Linked DNA regions of Daphnia pulex. The protein of the gene in region 3 purifies or fractionates together with the protein of the main gene of each other region. This does not show direct contact. Links are inferred from orthologs where the notes say so. Each region holds a gene or a part of one and is shown on either strand. Other genes may lie near its edges. The genes, in order: zinc finger protein 622-like, coatomer subunit alpha-like, E3 ubiquitin-protein ligase Ufd4-like and structural maintenance of chromosomes protein 2-like.

Region 1 (7,175 bases), about 4.3 Mb from region 3:
TATTAGTCACTAGGAATTTTACTACGACTTATCTTTCCCTACCAAAACTGGTCCCGCACTCTTCTCTCTCTCTAGTCGTAATCAATCAATGCAATTTTTCCCCCTGACTAAATTAACTGCATGTGCGAGCATTAGCAATCACAATAAAAGCTTTAGGCAGTTGGGTAGCAGATTTATTTATTTTACATTGCATAAAGAAAAATGTTTTGAACCGGACACTCTGTTTGTGTTTAACTAATCAGTTTGTGTATGTTTCTAAAACATACGAAAAGTAGTACGAAGGAGCAGCCGTAGTACTCCGGTGCCTTGGTGGTGTAAGCTGGGGCATCGAAGATTGCATTGTAAGACTCTGGAAATTTGGTGGTGTATTAAACCAAAAGCATCAGTATAGTAAGCTGGGGTAGCGTAGTGTAATACTCTGGAGATTTGTTGGTGTAGTATTTGGAAGCCTCAGTGAATTACTCAGCCGCTTTGGTGATGTTACTCGGGACAGATTAATACTTCGGAGCTTCGGTGTAGTAAGCAGGTCCTTCGTATGTTGACGTTTGTGTAGTAAGGCTGCGACGTGGTGTAGTATTTTTTCGCTGCTGTTAGGTATCCACCATACCCAGGAGACATCGGTACACTCGTGATCGTCCCAGCCATCAAAGATACAACACCCAACAGTAGCATGACGCTATAGCTAACCTAACGATTAATAAATTTAAACATTAATATTTAATAATAACTGTAATAAATAGAAAAAAAAGGATTGATACAAAACTCGATGTAAAAACCAAAACATTTACCCATAATTGCAAACTGATGATAAGATGAACAATCCAATTGTTGACAAATCGTGCGCTGCAGTTGTTGCGGTGTCGGAAAGACTCTTTCGATTGATTTTTGCCAACTTTTCTCTCTCCTTTTATACGACTTCTCTTTTGAGACGACTCATTTTACGCAGAATAATACTTCGGGGCGTCGGTGTAGTAGCTCGGGGCAGCGAAGGTTATAGTGTAGTACTTGGGCGCTTGGGTGTTGTAGAAATTAGGGGCCTCGGTGTAGTAGGCAGGGGCAGCTTACGTAGTCGTGTAGTATTCCGATGCCTTAGTGGTGTAGTACTACGGCTCTTTGATGATGTAGCTCGGGGCAGAGTTATACTTCTGGTCTTCTGTGTAATAGCTCGGGGAATCGTAAGTTTTGTTGTAATACTCAGTCTTGGTGGAGTAACCGGTTGTTGCCGTAAGGCGGCGACGTTGTGGTTTGATATCCGCCATACCCAGGAGACATCGGTACACCAGTGGTCGACCAACCCGTCAAAGATAAAACACCCAACAGCAGCACGACGCCATAATTAACTAGACAATAAATAAACTTAAACATTAATATTCAATTAATAACTGACATTAAGAAATAATCATAAGTAGCATCAATACAAAACACCATGTAAAAAACAGAATACATGTTACATACCCATGATTGCGAACTGATGATACGATGAAGAGGGCAGTTGTTGACAGATATTGCGCTACAGTTGTTGCCGTGTCGGAGATCCTCACTCGACTGATGTCGTCTCTGGCCTTTTCTCTCTCCTTTATATACGATTTTTTTTTCATACTTCACCTCCTAATAAGCCTTGCGGCTTAAGTACCTGCTTGATAATGATGCAAAACGCCCGTTCGCGCCCAACCTCTACACCACTGCATGACAAGTTTTACTTAATGATCTCCGTGACCTTCGAGCGCGAAGGACATGTAAACTGGCCTTTCCTTCTGCAGGTTGACGTTGTTGGGGATGGGTCTACAAAAACAAATTTAAAAATGAATACCAAATGGTTATGTAACACGTTTCGTTCTCACCAAACCTCTCCCCCACTGCATGACACGTTTACCGTAATGATCTCCGTGACCTTCGAAAGTGAAGGACATGCAAACTGGGCTTTCCTTCTGCAGGTTGACGTTGCTGGAGATGGCCAGATGGGTCTAAAACTACGAATATCAAAATGAATACCAAATGGTTATGGCTTAAAACTTACTTTATACCAATTGCCATTTTAATTATTTGACTTGTTTCTTCGGTGAATGAATAAATCTTTCATTTCGAACCATTTGAAGGACAGTTGGCTTTTTAAAAAATAATCAAAGTTTTCAAACTCAATCCATGATCATTTCATGATGTGCACACAGTTGATGTTGATCCTTGTTTGAAAACCTCTTTTCTTTATCAATTGCATATACAGTCCATACAACACAATAAATATTATAGAAAGTTTGGCATGTAAGTTATAAATGGACAAGAAAACTATCGTTGTTTTTTGTTCTGGCTTCAACACAAGCACTAGCACTCCAACTAAATACTAAAAAAAGGTTTTCACTCAGGAACCTGGATGGAATAAAAAGAATTCCTTGCCAACCCATTTTTTAAAGACACTTTATTCAATTATTATTGAAATTTACCTTCACAATTATTAATAATTTAGGGGGAAATGTGCATGTGAAGAAGAAACAGTAAAAGAAATTACTAGGAAAAAGAGAAAAGCTAAAAAAAAAATTGTGTCATAATCTGCACATTGAAAACTGAATTCCACAAATGGGGGAATTTAATAACTGAACATAAACATTGCACAAGTTGGAACTTGCTTTTTGTTGACAGACTTAAGGAACGTACAAGAGCTCTCATCAGCAATAACTTGAAAATTTAAGAGAGAGATTTAAGAGTTATCAAGATTTTCCTATAACTTCTTAAAAAACTCAAACAAAAAGAAATTCAATCATGTCTGATGTCTTATTGAAACTCAACAAGACCAGAGTATAAAGGAATCAACTTCTTAGTTATCAATTAACTACATCAATAGCTTTCTAGTAATAAAATTTGATCAACATGAAGTGAAGAGATGACTGACAAAATGGACCAGGCATCAGGTGATTTGACCCAGTGGAAAGGATTTGCTAGATTACTTGTAAATTTCAAACACAAATCGAAACAACAGAATTACCTTTAATTTTAATTATGTATAATCTCAAATGCACCATAATCTGAGTAGCAAGTCTAGCAACTTATCTCTAAAGTCAAAACTCAAAAGCAAATGGAGGAATGTCATCAATCACGAATAACTCCCGCCACCAGTTGAACAATTTCACATTGTCAATCACATTGGAAAGTGACATCTACAAACAGAATTGTGAAGCTGATGAAACGCCATCTATGAGTAACAATCAATAATATATTCTTGAACAGCATGGCCGTTGCATTGTTGCAGTGTTGAATTGTCTTCAAGCAGTTACGTTTTGTTTTTAATCAACGGTAAATCGACGGGATTGTTTGATTTTCATTTTGTGTTCGTATGTATTCTGAACTACATTAACTTTTTCATAATAGTTGTTTTTAACATTTCTATGTGAACTACCTGATATCTTAGATTATTTGGTGCCAGAAAAATGATGACATTTACTTGCATATCGTGTCACGTTGCGTTTAAAGAGCCAAACATCCAACGTGAGCACTATAAAACAGATTGGCATCGCTACAACCTCAAAAGAAAAGTTGTGGACTTGCCGCCTGTTACTGCAGAGGGTATAAAACAAATGTTTTCAATATGATATCAAATTTAAATTTATGCATGTAATATCGTTTTCAGTATTCCAGCAACGTGTGTTGGAACAGAGGACGCAGGCAAACCAGCAAGAAGCCACAAAGAGCCTGACACCCTACTGTACCTACTGCAAGAAAAAGTTTGGTTCTGAAAAGTCATATGAAAATCATTTGCCATCAAAGAAGCATCAAGATAATGTCCTTAATGGTCCTAAACTTGCTATCAAGAAGACAGAAAATGCTGGCCCTGCTGAAAGTGAAGTAGCTGTGAACGAGGAAGAAATAGAAGTTGAAGAAGAAGACGATTCAGATGAATGGGAAGATGATGATGAAGCAATTCCAGTAACATCTTGCTTATTCTGCAATCACAAGAGTGATTCATTGGAGAGCAGTCTGAAGCATATGTCATCACAGCATTCATTCTTCATACCAGATTTTGAATATGTTATTGATATAGAAGGAATGGTAACTTACTTGGGAGAACGAGTTGGCCAGGGACATATTTGTACGTGGTGTGGGCATCTTGGACGGCAGTTCCCTTCAACAGAGGCAGTACAGAAGCATATGCTTGACAAGGGACATTGCAAATTGTTTCATGAAGGTGAAGTTCTGCTGGAATATTCAGATTTTTATGATTACTCCACTAGCTACCCAGATGGTGGGGATGCAAATGAAGAAGTGGAGCCAAATGTCATAAACGATCTAGGATTCGAACTAGTTTTGCCTTCTGGCTCAACGATTGGGCATCGATCCCTTAACCGCTATTACCGGTAAAAAAAATGTTAATATTTATTATTTTTTTCAATTGCCATTTTACTTATTCGGTTCTTTGCAAAACTCCTAGTCAAAAATTGAATCCAAACCCAAGACCAGTACCCACGCGCGCAGCGATTCAGCACGGAAATTATTTCAAGGCTCTAGGCTGGACGACATCAACTAAAGAGATAGTGGAAAAGAAAGTGAGAGACATCACATTTATGCGGAAAATGTTTTTGAAAAATCAGCTTGGTGTTAGTGTGAAGGCTAACAAACTGCAAAAACATTTTAGAAGACAAGTTGATATGTAGATTATTAAAAGTACTTGCTGATTCATTCACTGGTGAAGAATATATACGTTTCGCCGACATTTTATATTTCACTGTTTTTTTTATTGGATTACAAACACTTTTAGAACACAAATTAACAGAATAAAGTAAGGTATGTTTTGAGTCCGCTTACAAGATTGCGGCAGGGATCTCAATACAGAATAAATCTTTCCCATGAACTTCTTGAAGCTCCCATTTGACTAGTACTTTGATCTAAACATAGAAGAATAAATCATTAAGAAACAAAAAAGGTAAAATTTGATCTAAATGACATTTCAATGAAGTGCAAGCATTTTGAAGACCAAAATGATTATGCGAAACTTTTTGGTAAAATAGTAAGCCTTTTTTTTACCTTAGGGTAAGCAGGACTGATTGGAATGGATGCTGTGTAAGTATAGTTTTGTCCATTACTTAAGGGGCAGACCAAACCAGAATTTTGACAACTAGAAACAGAAAGATGATAAAATTAAGGAAAACCACTGTTTACATCTAAAATTGTGCTTTCACTTACGCATCACTCTGTGGTAGAGGGAAAGGCATAGGAACTAAAAGTAATGTATTATTATTAATTACTTGAATAGAATTAAAGGTTTATTTTCATATTACTTCCTGCAATAATACCATGGACGCTAGCCTTGGTTGTATCAGTATCTTCCACTAGATAATGAACAGAGTGAATGTGTTTTACTTCAGACTTATTAAATACAAATTGGGCTTGAAATACTTACACGAAGTGAACACAACTGTAAAGTTGGCACTGGAACCAGATTTAAGTATACATGTGTTGCTCGTTTCACAACCAGAAACTGCCACTGACCGAACTTTCCCATAAACCGATCCTGTTGTGACCAAAATCAGATGGTTATTGGCAAGCTTAATATAGAAAATAAACAAATGAACCTTACCACAATCTTTGAAAATCAAGGCATGAGTTGCCAACACAACAGAGGCAAGAACGAGAACGGCGAGTGATTTCACAGCAGTCATTTTGGGAGAACAAGTGGTCGACAGAGAGTGAAAGCCTGTGAGAAAGTGATCATCTTTACACAAAACGCAATATATAGTAGCCAGGAAGCGGACGTGGTGTACCACTTTGCCCAACGTTAAGAATTGAACAATTTGGCTCAACCTGCAATCGGAGATTACGACTACTTCAGCAAAAATACTTACAAATTCAACAAAACAATTAAAACTTCGTTAACGAAATGAGACGCGTCTACGTTGACAGATAACCAACGATTAATTTACGATGTTACATTTTTCTGTCTGCAGCAACAATGATCAATGCCAAGTTTGTACAACTGCTCCACTTTTTCGACTGTTGGACGCCATGGCCAATGGGCGGGCGTGGTACAGTACGAGGAGATTAAGTACAATATTTCAAAAACTTCCGCCATTGATAAAGAATCGAAAACTATGACCAATTGTAATCAAATAAGATAAGATTTGTTGTTTAGCAAGGGTGTTTTCAAAAGGAAGTACATTCATTATCTTTATGTGTTCACCATTTTTTAAGTTTATCTTGAGCCCACGGATTGAGTGCTTGGTAATCGAAAAGGAACAAGTGATTATAATGGGCAACATTATTTAATTGACACCAGCCTTCAAACTGTTTAAACATAAAAGAACTTTGAAGATTAAGGATGTATTTACTCATAATTTAAGGGGGTTGGATACTAACTAGAAGTGATCTGGTATGTTAAGCATCCTTCAAAGACTTTTTGTCTAAAACTGAAAGAAATGGGTTAATTCGATTAACTACTGTGCAAAAACAGTTTAGAAAAAAACTATGATAAATAACGACGCATGGATCCCGTTCGGGTTCATTCATTCTGCAGCTCAAATTGAAGCGACTTTCAGACCTGAACCAAACGACTAACGATGATGCCAAATTCCGCTGACAGGATGGATCATAAAACGCGCACTTTGATCGTAAACTGACCTCATTCGTACGCTGCAAACTCTGCAGTTTGCTGAATGAAATTGCATCCGACGAAGATCAGCTGAACATCCGACCCCAAAAAACATGCCCCGCCAACTATACCGACCGACCACGAAAAGCAACTTGCATGTGTAGTTTAACACTGTCAAGATTTTTTTCTTTTCAAAGCAAAAATGATCGAGTCCAAAAAACATGTATTCGGATAGTTTTTGTTTTAGGGGGAGATTGGGATTGGGGGAGAACAACAATAATATGGAGGATAGAGAGAAAATAAAGAGCGTAAGAAATGCAAATAAGAGAGATGGTAGCAAAAATGTTGGTTATACATATTATTATGATTCGCACACGATATAGCAAATGTTTCTGTCGAGAAATGACATAGGGCTTATTTTTATAATTAAAAAAAAAAATTAAAAAAAGAGAAAACGTTCACATGTCAAATCGCGGCGGAAGCTCGATAGACCGTCATGATCAAAATCTGTACATTATACACGATTTTCCATTATGCTAAGACAGTTCCATTCATTTGTTTGTCCAAAAATCATTTCTTTTTTCACATTTCACTACATGCGTGT
Region 2 (8,030 bases), on a different chromosome or scaffold from region 3:
TCTACTTGTCCCTAATGTGACAGCAAACATCCCTCAGAGAATCACCCAAGAGGGACTTGATCTCCTTGTGAGGCTAATGCTCCTGAGCACTGATGTGTGAGTATATACAAAGCCATTCTAAATATACCACTCGTCTGTACACAGGCAAACCCCCACCACCACCACTCAAGCCTCAATAGGCTAAAGTAAATAACGATTGTTTATTAAAACGTTTTCTTCCCTTTTATTTTTCGTCCTTTTACGTGCAGGAATTTGAAGGCCGGTTTCAACAGCCCCGGAGGATATGCATCTGTCAATCATCAGCATTACCATCTCTATTATTTGCGTGAGAGGCTCTACCTGGAAACAGCGGTATGCCATTTGATTTCCCATTATAATTGTTTAATAAACCCCCCCCCCCCCAAAAATAATTGGTTTTCAATAGGCTGTGGAGCCAATCGCTGGGCCTTGTTTCGCTTTAACTGATTTCCCATCGAAAGGTTTCGCATTTCAGCTGACGGATAACGATCCAGCACTCCTCGCCAAGTATACATATCGAAAACACTTTTCATCGTTGCGATCGATAATTTATTGCTGCTGTTGAATGGCCATTGTTGGAGTGCAGGAACGTGTTTACTTTGGTCTCTTACCTTTGCGCCAACGAGATTGCCCATAATCTGTTCGTGACTCGAGGGAAACGCTTCGGCGGAACTCTTACCACCGCCGATGTCTACGATACGCTGCGCGTGTTCGTCTGGGCCAGAGAACCTGCATTCGGTAACATGGACGTGTAGAACAAAAGAGAGAAAATATAATACTCAGATATAAATTTCCAAGTGGCGCAGCGTCCCTTTTAACTGGCATTTTTTCTCTCCCACTTTTTGCCCGCAGGAGTCAAAGAAGAAATAGGATTCAACCCTGCACTTTGCGAGCTGGCCGGCCACCTTTTGATCAAAGGTGCGTTTAAACTTGTGAAGAATCAGCATAATTTCTTCGACTATAACTGTCTTGAGGTCATTTTGCATTTATTTCAGAGCCACCAGCCTACCAGGTCGTGACGGAAAAAGAAGCCGCCCAACTGCTGGACAGCATCACGGCACCCTGGTTCGAGCGCGTCGGCGCCCAGATTGCCCATCTCTTTGCTTTTGCCACGTAGTCAAAAACGATCGCTCCCAGTTGACAGATGACTGACGTAAATGACCCTGTTGTAATTAAATCGCGCCAGCTTTTTTCTCTCGACCAGCTCAACTGGTTCCGTGAGGTTGTGCACAGCACAGACAACAGTAACGATTTTTCGGTTTATTTCGGTTTGCATCAATTTTCATTTGGAGCCGGGCCACGTTTGGCTGGGTTGAAACAATTTCAGGTCGTTTGCTGTTTTTGCCTTCGTTGTCTCTTACAAAACGCTGACCAGTGAAACACAGTTGTTTAAACTATTTTAATTTTTTATTCTGGGGGGTTTTTGTGTATATTTCATCTTGACGTGATAATTATGTTGTCAACAAAACTACGATGATAGATTCGCAGGGGGAATTCTAAAGGGCTGGAATTCCGGTAATTTATACCCCCCCCTCCCCCATTCAACCATCATTTGACAATGTCAAATGATGGTTAACGCCGTAAAAACGCCGTAAAATTCTGTTCTGTGCTGGTCACGACCGTCGTGATTCTGTAGGTTAACCGCAGTTACACTAGACATATATGTTAGAAATGATTTCTACCGTGATATTAGAGGTAGAACTAATATACTACGTTTTAATTAAAATAATTGAAACATGAAATGAAGTGAGTGAAGTTGAACTTGAAATTTATTTGATGAAATTAAATCGTCATACGTTTAAATCCAGACATGAATAACATTTTTTAGTGACGTACGGATCTCAATTGGTAGCTGTTCCCAACTCGTTTAATTCCGGATGACCGAGTCTCTGTAACTGGCGGGGGGATTTTCATATTCCGGCGGCAGATTCGGGTAAATGGTCTGATACACATTTTCTGTTGCTTCTCCTGTTGTCGTTCCTGATCCTGTCGTCGCTGGAGGTTCGTGCAGAGTAGGTGTGGGGGGTGGTGTCAGGTTTGTGGTGCTTTGGCCAGATTGGGCTGCGATTTCATTGTTAGCTGGAACGTCATTCCAGTAACGTGGAAGTTTTGGTTCTTTTTTAGTTTTCGTCCAAAATCTATCCACTGCTAACCACACACAAGCAACAGCGCAGCATTTCAGGTAGCCGGAAACCAGTTCTTGGTCGAAATTCGCCAGATTAGGCGAGATGACGTCAAAGTATCCAATTTGAAAGGTGAAGACTGGACCCATTATACCGAAAAGTCTTTGGACAATTTTCATTGCAGAATCATCCTCTTCCTCCCACTTCCAGTAGTAATCCATTTGCAATAATGTTGCAAACATAAGGTAAGCCTGAATTGCCGCTAGTGTGGGCAGCGCATTGGATAGGGCGGGGATCCACATTTCCGGAGGTGTTGAACATGTGACCCAAACAACCGGATTCCCATCGAGATGATTGTCGGGACTGCAAAGCACATCAAGTCCGTTCGGTTTGCAGGCGGCTAGAAAGTTTGGAGCCAGAGTTTCAGTTGGACCGTTGTTCACCCATAGCCAGACGAAAACACCTCCAGTAATCAACGCTACAATCCATAGCAGAAGTTGAAACAACACCAGCAATATGCCTGCAGAACGGTTTGATGATGAAACAGAACGGAATCTTTTCTTTGCGAGTAGGATGCCTGACATCAAGAGACTTACACAGCAAAAACATGTTCCTTGTAGAAAACAGACACTGTATTTTTCTCTCGGGTTACTGGATTTCATCGGATAGTTAATTTTATCGTACTCGTTGCATGTTATTTTTATTGGTTTTCCATTAATGTCCGGTTGATTAGGAGGTAGTTTGACAAAACAGATTAAAAATGTCCACACAACGATAAGTGTAATCACGTATCCGATCAGGTTTGAAAAAGCTTTTTTCCCTTTTGCGAATTTCGTCATGGTGATATGAATCGCTGTTTAGTTTGATGATTATCCGCTTCGTCTAGCGGTCGTATATATATCATTCCATGGACAGAAACTTGCTCTGCAGTTGTTGAACCGGCAATTAATCGTAAATTTCGGGATAATCAACTTGGATTTTTATTTTTTAAATTTCGTTTTTCGTTAACTTACATTTTAACGAATAATGTTCAAAAGAAATTACGAATATGCGACAATCCCTTATCTCGTAATTTGTATTGTCAAAAGTACACTTGGCTTGAATTTGACACGAAAAAGAAAACATTCGAATCTTCGTTTAAGTGGAATTTCAAATTTCATACAGTTCTCTTCGATTGTTGACTCATCTTATCGAGTTTTTTCTTAAAGCAATTCACTTCAACATTAGAAAGCACGCTCTATCATTCCTTGGGCGTAGTTAACGATAACTAAGTCGACAAGATAAGACTCGCCTACGTTGACTTCGTTCACCAACACCAGAAGAATTTGGCAATTCAAATTAAAAAAAAAAAAACTAGCCAAATCCGCACTGAACTATGCCATCTAGCGTGAAGTACCTTCATATTATATGAACCTATCGGTAGGTGGCGTTTATCTTGACTACTTCAGCGACGTGGCTCTTCTGTCATTTCATTATTCCGGAGACTTGTATACTTTATATTTGGTGACCGTTCACCGGTTAATGTCTCGCAAAAATGCTAACTAAATTTGAAACGAAATCGGCCAGAGTTAAAGGCCTTTCCTTCCATCCCAAGCGACCATGGATTCTAACGAGGTACGTGTTTTTGCATACTTTGATTCCCGTCTTGAAGTCGGCAGTTGTCAAAGTCTGAATTGTTTTAATTGAATTTTTGTCATTTAGCTTGCATAGCGGAGTAATTCAACTATGGGATTATCGTATGTGTGCGTTGCTGGATAAATTCGATGAGCACGATGGACCTGTACGTGGAATCTGTTTCCATAGTCAGCAGCCCCTCTTTGTTTCTGGTGGCGATGATTACAAAATTAAGGTACCCACCCTTGCCTGACTTGACAAATTAACAAATGCCAATAATGTATGCTGTTCCTTTAGGTCTGGAACTACAAGCTGCGGCGCTGTCAATTCACATTGTCTGGCCACATGGACTACATTCGTACCACAGTCTTCCATCACGAATACCCATGGATTTTGAGCGCCTCTGATGATCAAACTATTAGAATCTGGAACTGGCAAAGCAGAGCTTGTGTATCTGTTTTGACTGGCCATAACCACTATGTCATGTGTGCCCAGTTTCACCCCACAGAAGATTTGATTGTTTCTGCATCCCTGGATCAAACTGTCAGAGTTTGGGACATTTCTGGTATTAACAGTTGTCAACCATTTTTCACTGTCAAGATCACATCATTATTTCTATTTTTGTTAGGTTTGAGAAAAAAGAATGTGGCACCTGGACCTGGAGGTCTCGATGAACACCTCCGTAATCCTGGAGCCACCGATTTATTTGGCCAAGCTGACGCAGTTGTTCGCCATGTTTTGGAGGGGCACGATCGCGGAGTGAATTGGGCAGCATTTCATCCGACACTTCCGTTGGTCATCTCGGGTGCTGACGATCGCCAGATCAAGTTGTGGCGAATGAGTGAATCTAAGGTGACGAGAGCACAGCAGAAATGACTTGTTAATCTTCTGAAAATAACTTTTTTGTTTCTCCGTATTGTGAACAGGCATGGGAAGTCGATACGTGCCGTGGCCATTACAACAATGTTTCTTGCGTCTTGTTCCATCCTAAACAAGAGCTGATCCTTTCCAACTCGGAAGACAAGAGTATCCGCGTTTGGGACCTCACGAAGAGGACGTGCCTCAACACTTTCCGTCGTGAACACGACCGTTTCTGGGTTATGGCTGCCCATCCAACTTTGGGTCTATTCGCAGCAGGTAAATTAACATTCTGTAACATTTCAAATTGGATCACGCTAATAATGCTAATGTGTTGTTTATTCAGGGCACGATTCCGGAATGGTGATCTTTAAGCTGGAGCGAGAAAGGCCTGCGTACAGCTTGCACGGCAATCTGCTATTTTACGTCAAGGAGCGTACCCTTCGTCGGTTGGATCTTACCACGTCGAAAGATACCGGTTTGCTGCAGTTGAGGGGCAACGCTCGCACGCCGATCCACAGCATCTCGTACAATCCTGCCGAGCAGTCTGTTCTGGTTGTCACTCGCGCTGCCAATTTAGACAATTCCATCTACGAGCTCTACTCGGTTCCAGTTGAAGCCGATTGTCCGCAAGATGGTGGCGATGGAAAACGCTCAACAGGTGTGACTGCCATCTGGGTCGCTCGCAATCGTTTTGCTGTCTTGGATCGTAACCACACGGTATGCCACGACTATAAACACCGGGTTAATGTTGGTTTTCTACAATAATTTTATTTCATTTTTCATTTTTTAGATCGTCATCAAAAACGAAAAGAACGAAGTCAGCAAGAAAATTCAGACACCTCCGTGTGATGAAATCTTTTATGCTGGTACTGGATGCGTTTTACTTCGTGATACGGAAGGCTTGACCTTATTTGATATCCAACAGAAACGTAGTGCTGGACAGGTAATAAAACTAAGCAAGTAGGTCATTCCAAGAACAACCATGTTCATTCAAAATTTTCTATGCAGGTTAAAATGACCAAATGTCGCCATGTCGTTTGGTCGGCGGACATGAGTCACGTTGCATTACTGGGCAAGCACGTCTTGACCATCGCCAACCGTCGTCTTGAAGTGCTGTGCACCATCCAGGAGAACGCCAGACTCAAGTCTGCTACCTGGGAAGATTCGGGTGTTCTGATCTACACCACTAGCCACCACATCAAGTATTCATTGATCAACGGCGATCACGGCATCATCCGCACCCTAGATCTGCCCGTGTATCTCACCCGTGTCAAGGGCAAGGCTATCTACTGTTTGGATCGCGATGCCCGTCCTCGCATGTTCCAGGTGGATCCCACCGAATACTGCTTCAAGTTGGCCCTGGTCAACCGAAAGTACGACGAAGTGTTGCACATGGTTCGACACGCCAAACTTGTCGGCCAATCGATCATCGCTTATTTGCAGCAAAAAGGTTATCCAGAGGTTGCCCTACACTTTGTCAAAGACGAAAAGACTCGACTGGCCCTGGCTCTCCAATGTGGCAACATTGAAGCAGCTCTTGAAGCCGCCAAGGCTCTAGACGACAAGTTCTGTTGGGAGAAACTTGGCGAAGCTGCCCTTCTTCAAGGTCAGGATTCTCGCTATTAGTTTTTTTTTAATGATGTTTAACTTACTTTATATTGGATCTGTAGGCAACCACCAGGTCGTTGAGATGTGCTATCAAAGGACAAAGAATTTCAACAAGTTGGCCTTTTTGTATCTGATTACTGGCAACCTCGACAAGCTAAGAAAGATGATGAAGATTGCTGAAATTCGCAAGGACACTTCGGGTCAATACCAATCGGCCCTTTTGCTAGGGGATATGCAAGAACGTGTCAAGGTGCTTCGTAACTGCGGACAGGTAATACGGGACGGTTCAGTTAACTAAGTTTTGAATGATAGTAATGTTTAAACATGGTCTAGACGAGCTTGGCTTTCCTTACTGCCGCTACCCATGGGCTTAATGAAGAGGCCGAACTACTGCAACAACAACTGGAAGCAGCCGGTCAACCAGTACCTACTGTAAATCCATCTGCTGTGTTCTTGCAGCCGCCTCCTCCAATTGCTCAGGCGGAATCCAACTGGCCATTGTTGACCGTTTCCAAGGTACGCCATTGTTCATTTGATAGATTTTAATGGGAGGGAACTTTAACATTTGAAATGAACTGGAACAGGGATTTTTCGATGGAGCCATGGCAGCTCGTACCATTGCTTCTGGATCTGCTGTTGCTACCGAGGAAGATGCCGGTGAACCTGATGGCTGGGGAGATGATGCTGATCTTGGTCTTGATGATGAAGATAAACCGGTTGGATCGGCTGGCAATGCCGAGAGCGGAGATGAAGAAGGTGGCTGGGAAGTGGGTGATGAAGATTTAGAGTTACCATCCGATTTGAGCGTTGCTGCTCATGGAGGTGAAGACGAAGACCGCGGTTATTACGTGCCACCCACTCGTGGTCAGCCTCCTCTGCAAGGATGGGCCACTCATTCGCAATTGGTTATTGATCACGCTTCAGCTGGCTCCTATGAATCTGCTTTCCGTCTCCTCCATGACCAGATTGGTGTCGTTAATTTTGCACCGTTCAAGTACGTACAATAACTGTTAATTCCTTCGTCATTTGCTTATAACATAGCGTTTCTTTCTACTCCGTTAGGCCATTGTTTACCGCAGCCTTCGCCAAATCACGAACTATGTTTGCTGGATTGCCTAATCTACCTTCCCTGGCCGCATACCCACAGCGTAACTGGAGGGAAGTTGCTGCCTCCTCTAAAGTTCACGGATTACCTGCACTTGGTGTTCGCTTGGCTGATTTAGCTCAAAGGCTTCAGGTAGGCCATCATTTTATTTTATTTTTTTTTTTTCAATTTGGGAAAGTAGTTAAATTATATTTAATTCGGTTGACAGATCTGCTATCAACTGACGACTGCTGGCAAATTCAACGAAGCTGTTGATCGTTTCCGCCTGCTTTTGTTAAATGTTCCACTCTTGGTGGTCGACAACAAAGAAGAAGTTCGCAAGGCCCAAGAATTAATTGCCATCTGTCGGGAGTATATTGTTGGCCTTAGCATGGAAGCTGCTCGTAAAGATTTGCCCAAGGAGAGTTTAGAGGATCAGAAGCGTAGCTGTGAAATGGCAGCCTACTTCACCCACTCAGAGCTGCAACCCATCCATCAGATCTTAACTTTGAGAACGGCGCTGAATCTTAGTTTCAAACTCAAAAACTTCCGCACTGCGGCCTCCTTTGCCCGGCGCCTCCTGGAACTTGGACCTAAACCCGAAGTGGCGCAACAAACTCGCAAAATCCTTCAGGTACTTCATCTGGAAGTTTATTGTGGTAACTCATGCTCAATTTTTTTTTATTTTGTGTCCACAGGCATGCGATAAAGGTGCAAATGAT
Region 3 (7,610 bases):
CGTCGACGATTCGCTCATGGCCGACGTGACGGAAGAAATGCTGGAAATCAACGCGTTCGATCTGCTCCGCAGCCTGGAACGACAGGCCAGTCAATTGCAGGCCGAAGCCGAAACGATGGCCGCCGCCTCGTCGGCCCTTTCTCACGTCGAATTAGCCGGGCAACAGCAACAACAACAACAGGCGGATGACGAACAGGACGACATGTCGTCGCCTCCTTCGCCTCCCTCCCAGTCGGTCAAAGTGGCTTCCGGCGCCGCTTCTGGCGTTCGCACGTCTGGTTCCATGAGCGTCAGCGTCCCCAATTTGACGACGACGTCATCAGAGCCGGAACGAGAAGTGGGCGGCGGACCCACGCCAGCTGCTTTCCTCGAAAGCTTCGCTAATGTGGCCCGAAGGTAAAGAGATGAGTTTGACTATTATTATTCAAAATTAACAGCCACTTACGAGTTGCATCCACCCGGAATGAATCATTCAACTCATTTCGATTTCTCTCTTTTGTTTTGTGTGACAGACGCCACCAAGCGGGCAATGCTGCCAACAGTGGAAGCGGCGGAGCATCGGGAGGAAACGCTTCCGGCTCACCCGTCGACCTGTCGAATGCCAATCGATCCAGCGGATCCAACAGCGGAGCGGGCGCAATGGCGGGCGGCGGTCACGGCCACGGCGCTAGCGGAACCAACGCCGTCAACGTCTCGTCTTCCTCGTCATCGAACGCCTCGTCGTCGCTGCTCTTCCCTCGCGGTCCCAATTCCGTGTCCAGTCTGGTCCGTCTGGCCCTGTCCTCCAACTTCCCCGGCGGACTGCTCAGCACGGCCCAGAGCTACCCGAGTCTGAGCAACACGCTGAGCAGCCTCTCGTCGGTGGCCAGCCACGCCGTTTCCATGGCGGGCGCCTCTTCCACCAACTTGCACCACGCCCACGGCGGCGCTGGTGCCGGCCAGGGGGGACACCAGCAGACGAGCAGCAGCAGCAGCCACGGATTGAGCCAGGCGCTGTCGATGAGTCTGACGGGCTCCAGCGACTCTGAGCAAGTCAGTTTGGAGGACTTTTTGGAGAGTTGCCGGGCCGGCACTTTGCTGGCCGAGCTGGAAGACGACGACGAGTTGCCCGAGCCGGACGAGGACGACAACGAAGACGACGATGAAAACGAAGACGATGAAGATTTCGAGGAAGTGACGGAAGAGGATGGAGGAGGCGGAGTCAGCAGTCTGGTGGGCGGGGCGGGCGACGGCAGCGGAGCCGGATCTCGACACGTGACCGGCAACACGAAGCGACGCAGTTGGGACGACGAATTCGTCCTCAAGAGACAATTTTCCGCCTTGATTCCGGCCTTTGATCCCCGTCCGGGCCGTACCAACGTTCACCAAACGTCCGATCTTGAAATTCCGCCACCCGGAGCCGCCGAAGGAGCGCAAGGAGCCGAAGCCGTCATCACCACTTCTTCGTCTCCGTCCTCGTCGGGCCTCTCGGCCACCGGCCAGCAATTGCAGCAGCAGTCCGTCATTCAATCGATGGACGTGGAAGCCGACGCCGATCTGGTGCCGCAACCCAAATTGCACCTGGTCCTGCGCGGCCCATGTCTGCCCAACATCCCCGACGTGGAAATTGAGCTGACGGACAGCGACTGGACCGTCTTCAAAGCCGTGCAGAAGCTGATCCAGGCCTCGGCCCTGGGCACCCGCCAGGAGAAATTGCGCCGCATCTGGGAGCCGACCTACACGCTCGTCTACAAGGAGCTCAAGGACGAGGCCGGTGCCGTCGTCGTCGTCGGTCCCTCGACGGGCGGAGCGATGGGCGACGCGGCCGGACAGCGCCGACTGATGGACGACGAACTCTTTTTGCCCGACTTTGACGTCAACACGCAGACGAGCAACACGGTGGGCTCGTGCAGCGTCGGCGACGTCCTCCTTTTGCTGCGGCAGCTCTACGTGCTGAGCAGCCGGCCACCGGCCGCCGGCGAGCAGTCGGATGTGGAGCAGCAGCAGCTGCAGCATCAATCGCACCACAGTCCGACCATCTTTATTCCGCTGGAGGAGTTTAGCAGCAAGAAAGTGACCAACAAGTTGATGCAACAACTTTCCGACCCTCTGGTCGTGTCGTCGGGCGCCCTGCCCGCCTGGTGCGAGCAGCTCCTGACCGTCTGCCCCATTTTGATTCCGTTCGAGACGCGCCAGATGTACTTTCACGCCAACGCTTTCGGCACTTCTCGGTAATTTTTGAATTGGTCCATTCGGTTTTTCCGTCCGTCCGTTCGTCTTTTTAACCAAACATATTTTCTCTTATTTCTTTGGCATTTCAGATCGATCGTTTGGCTGCAGAGTCAACGCGATTCGGCCGTCGAGAGGCAGAGAAACACGGGCGCCGTTCCCAGACGGGACGACCCGCACGAGTTCCGCGTCGGCCGGCTGAAACACGAGCGTGTGCGAGTGCCCCGCGGCGAGCGGCTCCTGGACTGGGCTCAGCAGGTGATGAAGGTCCACGCCGACCGCAAGGCCATTTTGGAGGTTGAATTCCAGGACGAGGAAGGGACGGGCCTGGGTCCGTCGCTCGAGTTTTACGCTCTGGTGGCGGCCGAGAGTCAGCGACGCGATTTGGCCCTTTGGATCTGCGACGACGAGGACGAAAACGAGTTGACGGCGTCCGAAACGGCGGCCTCCGTGGCGGATTCAGGAGTCAAACCGCCCGGCTATTACGTGGTGCGGCCGTCGGGTCTCTTCCCGGCCCCGTTGCCCCAGGACTCCCCCATCTGTGATCACGCCGAGCAGCTCTACTGGTTCCTGGGAGTTTTCCTGGCCAAGGCCCTCCAGGACGGCCGCCTTGTCGATTTGCCTCTCTCGACCCCTTTCCTCAAATTATTGTGCCAGGGCGACGTCTCATGCCCGGCCCAGCAGCCCGTTGTCGTCAGCGACAGCAAACGGAATAAAAACTACCGGGCTGGATCTCACCCGCCGCCGCAGCAGCCGCCCCCACCTCCTCCACAACAACAGCAACAACAGCAGCAACAACAACAACAGCAACAAGAAGCGGAAGACCCCATGACGTCGTCCGTTTTCTCGCAGGACGGCGACGTGCTGGGCGGCAACGGTAAACCGTTGACGGGCAGCAGCAGCCCTCGAGATCCGTCGCTGCCCTGGTTCTCCGGCATCCTCTCGCACGAAGATTTGGCCGTGGTGGATCCGACCCGCGGCCGATTCCTCCTCCAGTTGCGAGCCCTGGCCACTCGTCGCCGTCAGATCCTGACGGACCCGACGCTCAGCCACGAGGATCGCTGCCGCCAGGCCGACAACTTGGCCCTGGCACAGCCCAATCTGTTGAACAGCAACACGACGACGACCGTGTCGAGCGTGTCGAGTCAGAGCCACAGCAACATGTCGCAGAAGCCGGCCACCATCGTCCCGCCGCAATCTCAGAAGATTCAGAGCGCCGCCCAGGGACAGGGGCAGGGAGTCGGAGGCGGAGTCCGCCTCGAGGATTTGGCGCTGACGTTCCAGTTTGCCCCGTCGTCCAAAGTCTTTGGATTCACCGACGTTGAATTGCGTTCCGGCGGTGCCGATTTCGAGGTGGGAAATTTAATTTTTTCTATTTTGTGGAAATGGAATTTTGATTTAATTTGAAAATTGAAAATGTCAAGGTGACGCTGGAAAATGTCGAGGATTACGTGGAACAGATGGCGGAATTTTGCCTGGAACGAGGCATCCGCCGCCAGATGGAGGCCCTTCGCCAGGGATTCGACCGCGTTTTCCCCATGTCGCGATTGGCCGGCTTCAGCCCGTCTGAGCTGCGGCTGCTCCTGTGCGGCGACCAGAGCCCCAGCTGGACGCGCGAGGACATCCTCAACTACACGGAGCCGAAGCTGGGCTACACCCGCGACAGCCCGGGCTTCCAACGGTTCGTCAACGTCCTGACGGGCATGAACGCCGAGGAGCGCAAGGCCTTTCTCCAGTTCACGACGGGCTGCTCGTCGCTGCCGCCCGGCGGACTGGCCAATCTCTACCCGCGTCTGACGGTCGTCCGCAAAGTGGACGGCGTCAGCGACCGCAGCGGATGCGTCAACGGCAGCTACCCGTCCGTCAACACGTGCGTCCATTACCTCAAATTGCCCGAGTACGACTCTGAGGAGATTTTGCGCGAGCGGCTCCTGGCCGCCACTCGCGAAAAGGGTTTCCACCTCAACTGAAACCTCAGCCCCACACACAATCCGAAAGTAAAACCTTTTTTTTTTTTCGTTGCCTAAACATCATTTTTTTTGAATTTGAATTTTTGTTTAATCCTTAACCCTTTTGGCGGGCTTTTTCATTGTGCGTGCATCCACACCATTTTTTAATTCATTCATATTTCTTGGTTCGCCTCAATTTTCCCCCTGGAATTATTAATTTTTTTTTCTTGTTGGAGTTTGACTTTTGTCACCATTTCACCGTTTTTTTTTTGGCTCTCTCGTGTACCCCCAAATTGTTTCCCCCCTAAAATGCCCCACCAGCCACTACACCCGATGTGAAAAAACCAAAGTTTTTGCGATTTTCAGAGGAGAAAAACAGACAGACAAAGAGGAAAGGAAAAAAGTAGCGCTAGTGTCATTTGATCCCAGTTGGAAGGCGGGGTGTGGATCAGCTGGTGAAGGTGAAGGAAAGAAAAGAAGAAAATGAAGGCAGCAGCTTATTTGTTTGTTTTTATTATTTTTCCCCCCCAGTCCCTGCAACGTGAACATTTCTTTTGTTTTTCGATTGGCTTGTTTTTTGTTCCAAACTGCAGGATACATAAAGATGAAACGTAAATCAACGACTACTTGCTCCCCCCTGATGATGATGATGAAAATCGTGTGTCCTTTCCCCATGTAATCCCTTTGATACAATTTAGGGCTCAATCAACGGCCAGCTCTCCTCTATTTTTTAATTTTAACTTGTCGCCTAGATCTAAAAGAATTCTAAAAAGAAATTTGCCATTTCCTTTGCTAATCTTTGACTCGCTGGTAACAGGAAGACAAAAGAGAAACAGGAAAAGAGAAAACGAGTGCGCAATTGGTTTTCTTGTTACCTCCCCCATCAGCTCCCTGATATCACCGCGCCCCTTATTGATGGCATCCACTAAAAAAATAGACTAAAAACGGAAAAATTCGTTTGCGAGAACTTGCGGAAATCTCGCAAGTCGGTAGTGAATCGATGGTAGGACACCAGCAGAGAGTGGGGAAAAATAAAAGTTACACACGAGCCTCTTATTGTCGGCATTTGGAGATCTTTAAACGTGTGTGATTGCGTGTCGGTTAATGAGACTGTGGGACTCTTGTCCACATTTCGACCGCTGCACTTTACTTCTCATTTAGCGCGCCATCCCCCCCCCACCACATTTATTGTGAAATTTCAACTCGCATCTTTATAATAAAAACAAAAATTTATTGTGCCCTCATCATCCCCAACCCCCTCACACACACACATATGATGTAATCTTTCTCGCATCGATTGCGCATTGATTGATTTCATTAATTATGATTCAATTTATATGTTCGTCTCACTCCCATCCCGGCTACACCCCTTTCTATTCTCGCCCTCTCCAAAGAACTACTATCGGGATTTTGTCTTGTTTTGTTTATCTCTTCTCTTCTTCAATATATTCTGCTCCTCCTTATTCAGATATTTCATGTTTGTCATTTGGTCATGCCGGATTTACTCTTGCACATGATGGTGTAGTAACTACTACTTTAATCAAGTATACGTTTCAACGATAACTCTCCTAACCTGAATCACCAATCTCCGTCCTCCGTCCAAACTCTTTGGCCGACGATTTATTCACGACGTTTGATTTATTTTAAAAAAAAGACCAAATTGGCTTGCTGAGACGTTGAAAAGCAAACCCCAGAACAATGCGGATCAATAGGAACCTGCGATTTTGATCGTGGGTTGTTGGCTAAACGAAATTTAATTGCCATTTAGAGTTGAACTGAATTGTTTTCGTGGGGTTCAAATTACTTATTTAGTCTACTGTGAGAATATTTTAGTTTTCGATTGGAGACTTGTGCCATCGTGTGACGACTGACGAGAAATCCAGGGCCTCGGGTAGACTGTAAGTATTTCTTCAGAATCGTGAAGCATAAACGTACATGACAAGCCATCCAATAACTATTTCAAGATAAGAATTTATTTTTTTTTTCATTCACGAATCACGATTCACGAATTCAGTGGATTTAATTTGTTTAAGAAAAAACCACTTAACTCTATTTTTCTTTTTATAAAAAAATGGCAACGTCGCCCTTTTCTGGCATTCCGAATGGCGGCGCCCAGGTGAAATGTCGTTTGTCGCGGTCCTCTTCCATGGCGTTTGATAATTCAAGTTCTCTGACGTGCTTATTTCATTGTTCATATTGTAAGTAAGGTACACTTAATGCGTGAATCTTTAAGATAAACGGCTGTGGTGCCAAGTATGTGTGATATAGTAATGGCTGCCAAGGTCTATGCTGTTATTCACCCGTATACCTTGTCAACATTGGATGTGTCCCAATGTCAGTGAGTTGCCTGAAAAAATAACCAAGGATAACAAGTCAAGAGAAATCCTAGTGAACAGCTTACCATTCTTACTTATTTTTAAAAGAAAATGTTCAAATTTGGTTTTATTAACAGTTCATTTGATCAAGTGTAATTTTTCAACAGTAAACTTTCAAATCGCAACATCTCAGTATCAAGCTTTTTGCTTTAGTGTATTGACAATCCGTAAATTTTCCTACCTGGTCTTTCATCAACTCTAATTGTTACCCCATTAGTTATTTTGACTTAGAATTTATAGAATTCAACATGTCGAGTGCAGTAGTTTTGATTATTTGATTTTTTTCTTATTTAGATTGTGTCAATCACTGAAAGAGGATCAGCATCCTGGTGATCTCTTCCAGGAGGAAAATGACTACACGGTCAATAAAAACAGGGTGAAGAAAAGATAACAAATTCTATTAAAGGGGTCATCAAGTTAAGTTTACATAGAATCTTGAGAATCATCATGTTGAGTGCAGTAGTTTTAATTATTTTTTCTAATTTAAATTTTGCAATAGGCAAAATGAGAACTATCTGGTTATCCTTCCACGGAAAAGGCAAACACCACCAACATGGTCAACAAGTTTGTTAACCCATTGAATGTTACCGGGTAGCAGTAACCCTTGAATTCCCTCTCCTTAGTTCCTTGAAATGGGCCCACTCTTATTTTGAGTTATTGCTTGCTGTCGTAAACAATCTTACATGCAATTTTAAAATCTAAAGTCACCTCCATTCTCGTTTAAGGTTAACCTCTGCCGCTATTCCATGGACTGAATCCATTGGTGGAAACTTACGACAAATCAGTGACAACTGACTAACGGGCTGTCATTCAGCAATACTTTTCACATGCGTGCCATCCTTCCGTCGCCCCAAGGCACGGGGGAGTTGTGCCTGCTCCAGCTATACGAGGCCAGGATAATTTGACTACCCAGCAACCGACGGTCTGGTGGGCCAACTCACCCATCACTGACTCCAACTACCCCTGCTCTCAAATGACCAAAGGACGACGATTTTGTGAGTTTCGTTTTTTTTTTCTTATTTTTGTTGTTGGGTGTTGATGAGCTAGAGCAGTGACACTTTCATTTTAAACATATCTT
Region 4 (7,977 bases), on a different chromosome or scaffold from region 3:
ACCACTGCTCACACCATGAACACTGCATCAACACCATTAGCAGCTCCAACATCACTTTAACCAAGAAATCCTACAAATCAAAGGAAAACACCAATTACATTTTCAAATACAAGAAAGGGCAAATTTCTGTTTTATAAAAAAATACAGTTCTATTGAGCAAATCTTTTCACGAAAGCTCTTATATAGAAACACAATTTGTTGTAAAACGCCATCTAAATCAAGAATTCAATGTCTAACCCAATTTCTCACAAAAACACATGTGTAGCACATACTTTTCACGTAGACTCACATTTAGGCAAAATGCTAACCCACTCAAGTTTTCTAACAAGTTAAGTGAACGTCTGCAAAAGCTCTTGGCATAACTCAACTGGAAATTGAAACAATTTGAAAAACAAAACCCAATGAAGCTCAGACTTTACTACTGAACAGTTAATAGAATAGTAAAACTCAATTAGTACTTGAAACAAAGTCACAAAATTTTAATTCAGAAACAAAGTCTTGAATCAAAAAGTTAGGCAACATAATTACTAACATGACTACACAAAAAATTACATTTGATAAAATTAAAGAATAAAAGATGGAATTACCATGTCTGGGGTGAAAAATGTCATGTAAGAAAGTACCCAGCAAGGACAATATTCAACCTTCTCGGACAGCGTCTCGACAGCAAAAGAAATACTGCTTAGTAAGTCGTCTCAGCACTTTGACAGTTTGGTGACCCACCCCCCTACATCCCTCTGGAAACCCACACTAGAGTTGAATAGTTCAATCCCTAAACACACTGAAACATTTAGCCACCTAGTGACAGCCCTTAGCAACCACGGACGACTAGAGTCATGGACGGAAAAAAAAAAAAAAATAAACCAAATAATCAAATATTCGTCATCTCCGTGAAATACATTTAGTACATTTAAAAAAAAAGCAATTATCGAAAAATTAACAAGTGAGCTTTCTTGGTGGAATACTTATCGTCAGTATTACACAAGTATGTGTAATACACAAGTATTACTGTGTCGTGTCGTTTTTGTTAAGCTGATGTTTGTCAACATAAGAAAAAACTTCAATCGCTTTGCTTTTCTTGGGAAAGTGAACATGGAGATGCGAATTACTAATAGGCCTACAAGTAAAATTACTTAATTTACGCAAAATAAAGGAAAACTACGAATGATTGATTCATTTTTAGTAACTGACTGAATTATTATTTACCGAACGCATTACACTTAATAGGTTCACGCTTCAGAAAAGATGAAGTACGATTTACAAATGCTTTCTGATACATAATCGTCTACTTTCGTTTTTTAGGCCGAGTTTCCTCTTCCTCCGCTGGGCGGGCATGAGAGTTCGATTGTTGCTGAGCCAATCGACTGACCGTAGACATACCTTCAACAAATTTTGTGCGAAAAAGAACATTAGCATTGTTAAACATACCGTCTTTCAGAGATACAACGATGAATTGCGACTGCTTAAAATGTTGCTTTAACATCACCCCAATGTTCTGAGTGTGAGACAAATCCAAGGCTGCGTCTACTTCATCAAGAATATAGATAGGCGCTGGTTTGAATAATAGCATAGCCAAAATCAACGACAAAGCCACTAAGGATCTCTGACCGCCACTCAATTCCGATAAACTCTCTTTCCATACTCCGCCAAAAGCAACTTTGACTTCGAGACCGTCTAGCACTGTTTGACCGTCCGGTGGCTGCAGTTTTGCTTTGGTTCCGGGTAACAGGGTAGAGAAAATAGAACCAAAATCTTTTGTCACTTGTTCCCAAGCCACTTGAAGAGTTTCTTTCTTCTTTTCGTCCAGCTTCAGGATTGCGTTTTCAATTTTCGCCTTATCCTCTTCTACAATCCTCTTCTTCCGCATCAAGTCATTATACTGCGCCTCTGCTTGTGTCAACATAGTCATGGAACGAACGTTGACATGGCGACCAAGCTTTTTCATGGATTCCTCTAATTTATGAACGCGCTGTCCCAATTCTGCTCCATTAATGACGTTAAAATCATAATTAGACCCGGCTACTCCAAAATGGTGTCGATCTTCGTTTATCCAAGCATGTTTTTCGAGCATGGCGTCAACACGCTTTTCGGAATCTTTTGCGTCATCTTTTGCTTTGGAAAGCCGATGTTCCAATTTCTTCAAGTGCAGTTCACCTTCACTCACCTTTGCATTCAAAATAAAGAAATTAATTAGAATTATGAAGTATTGTAAATTGGGATTTAAAAAAAAAGCCAACCTGAGCTTCGCGCTGTTCTTTACCAGCAATTCGTTTGGAAATTTCTTGATTTTGAGCTGAAATTCGTGCCTTAAATTCGTCAATTTGTTTTCTGACTTCCTGTACATTAGCTTGTTCAACTGCCAGAGCTTCATTCAACACTTTCATTTCTTCATGTAAATTGGCTAGTGTTATCTCAGTCTCTAGATGAAGAACAAAAAATTTAATAAAAAGTGCAAAGATAATTTTGAAACATACAATTCAATAACAGAAACAGTATGTCGTTACCTTTTAATTGAATGTCAGTAGTTTCAATAGATTTTCGAAGTTCCTCCAACTCTAGTTTAAGCGAGTCAGCATCATTTGCATGTTCCTTCCATTTAGACTGTGAAGCAGCTGCCGCCTTCTTGCAACGATCCAATTCAGCTTGGGCTGCTTTTAACTGAGTTTCCCGAATCTTACCGGCATTCTTTAACTGATTCTCCAACTCCTTGATGCGCGATTTACCTTCTTTAATGATGTCGGTGCATTCGAGGGCCTTTTGCTCTGCTGATTCCAATTCCGACTTCATATTTTCGACTTCTTGAGTTTGGCGGTGGTGAAGCGTTTGCTGGAGCCTTTGCTGGAGCAATTCAAATTCGTGCTTTTTCACATCGTAACGCTGTTTCAGAGTGCGATACTGTGCTGAAGCCTGCTCCATAACTCGAAGTTCTTGTTCCGCTTCCTTTAGTTGACGATCTTTTGCCTCAAATTCGTTGCGGTACTGCTTGATTTCGTTAACTCTGAGAATAGCAGATTGGCCAGAAGCTCGACTGCCACCAGTTAAAGTACCACCAGGATCAACGACATCCCCCTCCAAAGTTACTGTTTTACGCATTATCTGATCGTGAAACGTAACTTGTCGAGCTTCGTCTAGACCCTTACAAACAAAGGAGCTGCCAAAAATGTACTTCATTGCCGGCGTCAAGTGGTTCTCAAACTCAATCAAAGATATTGCGGTATGGCAGTTTTCTTTACCAACGATTCTTTTGGCAGTTGCCGTAGTCCGTTCATCGATGGTTCTGCCTTCAATTTTGTTGAGAGGGATAAATGTGACACGTGACTGGAGCTTGCCTCTCTCAAGAAGCTTTTTTGCCGTGTTTTCGCTGTCGACTACTATGTTGTATAGCCGACCTCCAGCAGTAATATCTAGAGCAGTAGCGTAGGACATATCTGGAACTTCAAATAAACTGCACACCACACCTGTTCACGAAGAAAAAAAAGTTAAGAAAAGAAATATAAACAAAGTCACACTATAGAAATGCAACCTTTCACAGTAGATGCGTCGAATTGCCTTTCAGGAGGGGTGTACCGAAAGGCCATTTGAGGAAATCGAGCTTCGAATGATTCAATTTTCTCTCGCAGCGAATGCATTTCCGGTTTCAAGCTTCTTTGCAACTGCTCTAAATTAGTTACTTTCTCTTCATCATAGTGAACCTGCCCAAGTTCGGCTTCCAGTCTCTTAACTTCATTCTCGAGGTGCTTAGAGTTTTGTGCATCTTTTTTATAATCGACCTCCGACTTTTTCATCTCATTAATTTTAACTTTCAGCTCTTTTTTTAGATGTTGGGTTGTCATTTCCGAATGCTTCAACTGCGACTCGGCTTGAGCAACATTCTTTTGCGTGGCCATGAGTTCTTCAGGTAAAGTGGCCGCAGCACCATTGTCACTGGCCAACAAACCAGAACTGATTTCTTGGAAGCGCTTTTGGGCAGCTGTCAAAGCTTCACTATCCTGTTGTTCAGTTTGCCTTAATTTTTCAAATGTCTCGCCTAGTTTACTCTCTTCTACCTCCTTGCCTGTTCCGATGAATATAAATACGCTATAATACTGAAAATATATAAAATAAAAGTTAAAATTTTACCTTCTAAAGCAGCGGTGTCGTCGTCAAGACTTTTCTTCAGCTCTTTTTTCCTCTTTTCTTCAGCTTTAATATTTTCCTTGAGCACCTTAACAGCTGATTGGGCTTTCGATTCGGCTTTTTCTTGAACACGCAATTTTTCTTCAAGCTGTGTAAGTTCTTTGCCACCAACTTGGTCTCTCTGATGTTGAAGAGTATGAATTTCTTTTTCCAGTGCCTCAATTTCATTTTTGAGTTTTTCTTCAGTGGCACAATGATTTGTCTTTTCTTTTAAAATCTCATTGTATTCCTCCTTTACTTGGGCATTAGCTTTTTCAAGGCTGAGGAATCTATAAGCTACATATTGGCGGTTCAAGTGTTCTAATTCACGTTCGGACTTCTGAAACTGCAGGTACTGAGTTCGTTCTTCTCTCAGTTTGTTCAATGTTGGCGTAACTTCTTCTGAAAGGATGTCATTGATTTCTTTGATTTTTTCTTCCTTTTTCTCAATTGTTTTCAAAGCCTGTTGCTTTTTCGCTTCGTACATTCTGGTCCCTGCAGCTTCCTCAATCATGGCCAATATTTCAGGGGGTTTCATATTCAAAACCTGCAATGTGAAAACACATACTTATACACTGAAATGCAACCACAAATTGATGAATGAGTTAAGCACAATACTTTAGTAATTCTTCCTTGCATGATAAGGAAATGAGGATTGTTGACATTTAACTGCACAGAGCGGAAAAAATCTTGGACACGGTTGTTTTGAACATTTGATCCATTTATGAGATACTTGTTTTTTCCACCGATGACAACCTGAAAATATGGAAACATAGACTATATATCCTAGTCATAATGAAATCATAAATAACAATACCTGTCTAGTCACTGTAACTTCATCATAATGCTCATAGCCAATTGGACTTTGTTTTTTGTCTTTGTTATCAAAGGTGACTGTCACAGTGGCTTTCGTGACACCTGCTTGTCCACTTTTGTATACTAATTCTTGCAAATTTGTTGCTCTTACATGGCTCAAATTTGTGATGCCAAGAAGGAAACAGATAGCATCCAGAATGTTAGATTTACCACTACCATTTAGCCCTGTAATGGCATTAAACATTGGATCAAATCCATTGATTTCAGTTCTTTGGCCATAGGATTTGAAACCATCAACTACCATAGATTTGATGTACATTTTTTAAAACACAAAAATACTTGATCACGGCTTGCCAGCCACTCAACGTCTTTTCCCGCTGTTTTCTCCTTTTCCTTTCAACGGCTCAACGCATAACTTACGTAGGCTATGCTTTCAACCCTCAAATACTCTGGATTGGATTTTCAAAAAAAGAAGCCTTTTCCCACCACACTTGATGCGTATGTAAACGCACGATAATTTCGTAGCATGAAAAGTAGGATAAGTGGTAGAAAAGGGCGTTCAGGGGTGTTCAGAAGACAGAATTGACGTGTCACTGTTGGAAGATGAAGATAATTAAGAAATTTAGGGAATTTTTTTAAGTTTGTAAAAAAAAAGTGTGTTTGACCCGATTTTTTATCCGGGCCGTTTTACCCGGCCGGTAAAAATTTTTTGACCCATGGGTCGGCCCGGGCCGAACCCATTTACTCTGTTGGCCCAACCCGCGGAAGAAGAAAAACCCATCTAAAAAACCCATTTAAAAAAAAAAACCGCTAAAAAACGTCCGGGCCACAGCCCTAACAGCGAGTCAGCGACTGCCGACTCATGTCCACTGGTCCACTGACAGCCAGAGAAGCCAGCGGCCCCACCTGGCCCCACACTCAGAGCAGAGAGAGATAGTATGCTACGATGCTACATGCTACGATCGTGATGCTACTGTGGCTCTGGCCAGAGTACCAGAACCACAGAGCAACCAACGGCAACCAGAGGATGCCTAGAAACGAAGAACCCAACGACAAGAACCTAGAAATCGTTAGATTCTAAAACAGCGTCAGATTATGTCCTTTAAATGTTTAAAAAATTTAGTCAAAATTGCTCACTTGTAATTTTTTCCTTTTTTTTTAGCACGGAACATTGTCCCACTTGTATTGCAATTTTTTTTTGTTACGACCAGACACAACTGTACATATCTATTTACAAGAAAATTTCAGTTGTTATCTAAGAATAAATATAGCCCAAAGTGTTCAAAAATAATAAATAAAACTATTTGCTTCGGCTCGTGAAGGAGAAAGGGTGAGAATTAACAACAAGGAGCTGAGCAGAAAAAAAGGGCATACAGTATATCCTTGGGTCTTACGATCAGCACGATTGTGTTTACATGGAATCATGCAAATTTCTTTTTTAAACATAAATTCGATAGCAAACAGAATTGCAAACTTCTCTCTCACAGACAGACAGTCATGTTAAGTCATAGTCATATTATTTAGTACAGAAGGCAAACAAAAGGATAATCGATGTGAACCGAATGCCTCAAACCAAGGCGTAATTAACAATGTAACGAGGCAGGCACATTTCATCAGTGTACAAATGTCAGCACGATCCATCAAGCGTTGGGTGACAAATGTAAAAATCCAAAAGGCCAATTTGACAAACTTTGGGCTTTCCCAATCAACTGCTTGGACAACAGATGACTGGCGAGTCCCAAAAGAAAAGCACAACGCCCACAGACCAGAATTCTACCCCTTTGGAAGATCTCATGGAAATGGAATGATAGCAACCCACGGTGAATATAACGTAATGGCACATATTCTGAAGCGCAAAGATATGTTCATGGAAAACATACTGTACAATACAAACAAGGCACGTCTATGGGCTTCAGATTTCGGAACAAAATATAGTGGAATGGAGCAAGTACATCTGGGAAAGGGGGTGAGGTTTCGTTAAAGGGCTTTCAATCGTTGCATCAGTCTGTCTGCCTCTGATCCGTCATCAGCGGCAGCTAAGTATCCACCTCCGTTGTTGAGCTTCACCTCCCTCTCTCGGCCTCCACTCATTAGTAACTCGGCAGCCATGTCAAACTTGGGCGGTGGTCGCGCTTTTCTTGGGCGAGGCGCTTTCATGGCTAGCCCATCCGTCAAGTCATCCGTTATGGCAGGAACTGGAGGTCTTTCGTCACCGAATGTCCTGTTTTCATCAATACAAAATCAGAAACAATGCAATCGGAAAATGACTAACAATTTGTTCAATACCCTTTCATTTCCCGAGATGAAGGGGACTCTAGTAGCGCTCCTTTGGACCGACTGCGATTCATTTGTGCACGGCGCTCCGCTGCTCGAAGACAAAAACAATTTAAAAAAAAATCATCATTAGACGGTACAAACAAAAGGCACTTGTCGAAAGCCCATGCAAATAAAAATGGTTTGCAAGCCGATTACATCAAACGGATTAAAAAAAATAACGATGAGTTGTGGTGAATAAATAAATGAACACTGTGTCCGAAGCTGTTAACAAAGTTTAAAGGCAGCAACTTTTTGAACGCGTTATTTTTTTTTTCTCTTTTTAAATCAATGTTGGTATACCTTAAAAAAACTGTTTCGGGTAGTCAGCAGCAAAACTTAATAATAATTTAAAAAATCACACACACACACACACACACACACACGAAAAAAGTTATACCAAACACCGGCAAGTGGCGGGGGAGGGAAATAAAATCCAAAGCAATTCGGTTACGGCGTGCCATCATCTTGGAAGCGGTCATGTCATTTCAAATTTCCAACTTTTTTAGATTGCAGTAACTGAACTGGGGATCTCTTACCCGTTGTGAACTCGGTTGGATCGGTCTGCGCCGTTGCCAACAGGATTTGCAAAGGAGAGCAACGTACGAATTTTGGGGATATGGAAACGAAATGTTATGTTATACGCTTCAACTCACATTCTAGACAACCTTCTTCGCTCAATTCTACAACCGA

The links.
Region 1: the proteins of E3 ubiquitin-protein ligase Ufd4-like (region 3) and zinc finger protein 622-like purify together in Homo sapiens (affinity purification with mass spectrometry; 4 studies listed by BioGRID, with this or other methods). This does not show direct contact. The link is inferred for Daphnia pulex from reciprocal best matches to the Homo sapiens genes HECTD1 and ZNF622.
Region 2: the proteins of E3 ubiquitin-protein ligase Ufd4-like (region 3) and coatomer subunit alpha-like purify together in Homo sapiens (affinity purification with mass spectrometry, with the first as the bait; 3 studies listed by BioGRID). This does not show direct contact. The link is inferred for Daphnia pulex from reciprocal best matches to the Homo sapiens genes HECTD1 and COPA.
Region 4: the proteins of E3 ubiquitin-protein ligase Ufd4-like (region 3) and structural maintenance of chromosomes protein 2-like purify together in Homo sapiens (affinity purification with mass spectrometry; 3 studies listed by BioGRID, with this or other methods). This does not show direct contact. The link is inferred for Daphnia pulex from reciprocal best matches to the Homo sapiens genes HECTD1 and SMC2.

What each region holds. Positions count from the first base shown.
Region 1 is NC_060020.1:4,436,281-4,443,455, reverse strand, and holds zinc finger protein 622-like, read left to right. Parts: upstream 1-3,186; 5' UTR 3,187-3,285; exon of another isoform or gene 3,286-3,323; intron 3,324-3,400; 5' UTR 3,401-3,419; coding exon 3,420-3,555; intron 3,556-3,619; coding exon 3,620-4,343; intron 4,344-4,417; coding exon 4,418-4,640; 3' UTR 4,641-4,699; downstream 4,700-7,175. Other genes in the region: NPC intracellular cholesterol transporter 2 homolog a-like, read right to left, coding at 4,788-4,871, 5,011-5,101, 5,170-5,203, 5,265-5,315, 5,387-5,497, 5,564-5,680, 5,748-5,787, 5,915-6,055. UniProt on the Homo sapiens protein: Pre-60S-associated cytoplasmic factor involved in the cytoplasmic maturation of the 60S subunit.
Region 2 is NC_060025.1:3,019,101-3,027,130, forward strand, and holds the start of coatomer subunit alpha-like, read left to right. Parts: upstream 1-3,569; 5' UTR 3,570-3,675; coding exon 3,676-3,755; intron 3,756-3,842; coding exon 3,843-3,990; intron 3,991-4,052; coding exon 4,053-4,607; intron 4,608-4,681; coding exon 4,682-4,892; intron 4,893-4,959; coding exon 4,960-5,333; intron 5,334-5,406; coding exon 5,407-5,559; intron 5,560-5,624; coding exon 5,625-6,222; intron 6,223-6,286; coding exon 6,287-6,495; intron 6,496-6,557; coding exon 6,558-6,740; intron 6,741-6,808; coding exon 6,809-7,218; intron 7,219-7,286; coding exon 7,287-7,461; intron 7,462-7,537; coding exon 7,538-7,942; intron 7,943-8,006; coding exon 8,007-8,030. Other genes in the region: GDP-D-glucose phosphorylase 1-like, read left to right, coding at 1-96, 249-351, 425-525, 605-756, 871-936, 1,014-1,135. UniProt on the Homo sapiens protein: The coatomer is a cytosolic protein complex that binds to dilysine motifs and reversibly associates with Golgi non-clathrin-coated vesicles, which further mediate biosynthetic protein transport from the ER, via the Golgi up to the trans Golgi network.
Region 3 is NC_060020.1:87,512-95,121, reverse strand, and holds the end of E3 ubiquitin-protein ligase Ufd4-like, read left to right. Parts: coding exon 1-396; intron 397-512; coding exon 513-2,210; intron 2,211-2,300; coding exon 2,301-3,561; intron 3,562-3,632; coding exon 3,633-4,178; 3' UTR 4,179-5,720; downstream 5,721-7,610. UniProt on the Homo sapiens protein: E3 ubiquitin-protein ligase which accepts ubiquitin from an E2 ubiquitin-conjugating enzyme in the form of a thioester and then directly transfers the ubiquitin to targeted substrates.
Region 4 is NC_060019.1:8,744,976-8,752,952, reverse strand, and holds the start of structural maintenance of chromosomes protein 2-like, read right to left. Parts: upstream 5,405-7,977; 5' UTR 5,291-5,404; coding exon 4,973-5,290; intron 4,912-4,972; coding exon 4,774-4,911; intron 4,703-4,773; coding exon 4,120-4,702; intron 4,055-4,119; coding exon 3,524-4,054; intron 3,459-3,523; coding exon 2,505-3,458; intron 2,420-2,504; coding exon 2,238-2,419; intron 2,165-2,237; coding exon 1,286-2,164; 3' UTR 624-1,285; exon of another isoform or gene 553-623; intron 71-552; 3' UTR 1-70. Other genes in the region: protein diaphanous-like, read right to left, coding at 6,949-7,192, 7,258-7,336. UniProt on the Homo sapiens protein: Central component of the condensin complex, a complex required for conversion of interphase chromatin into mitotic-like condense chromosomes.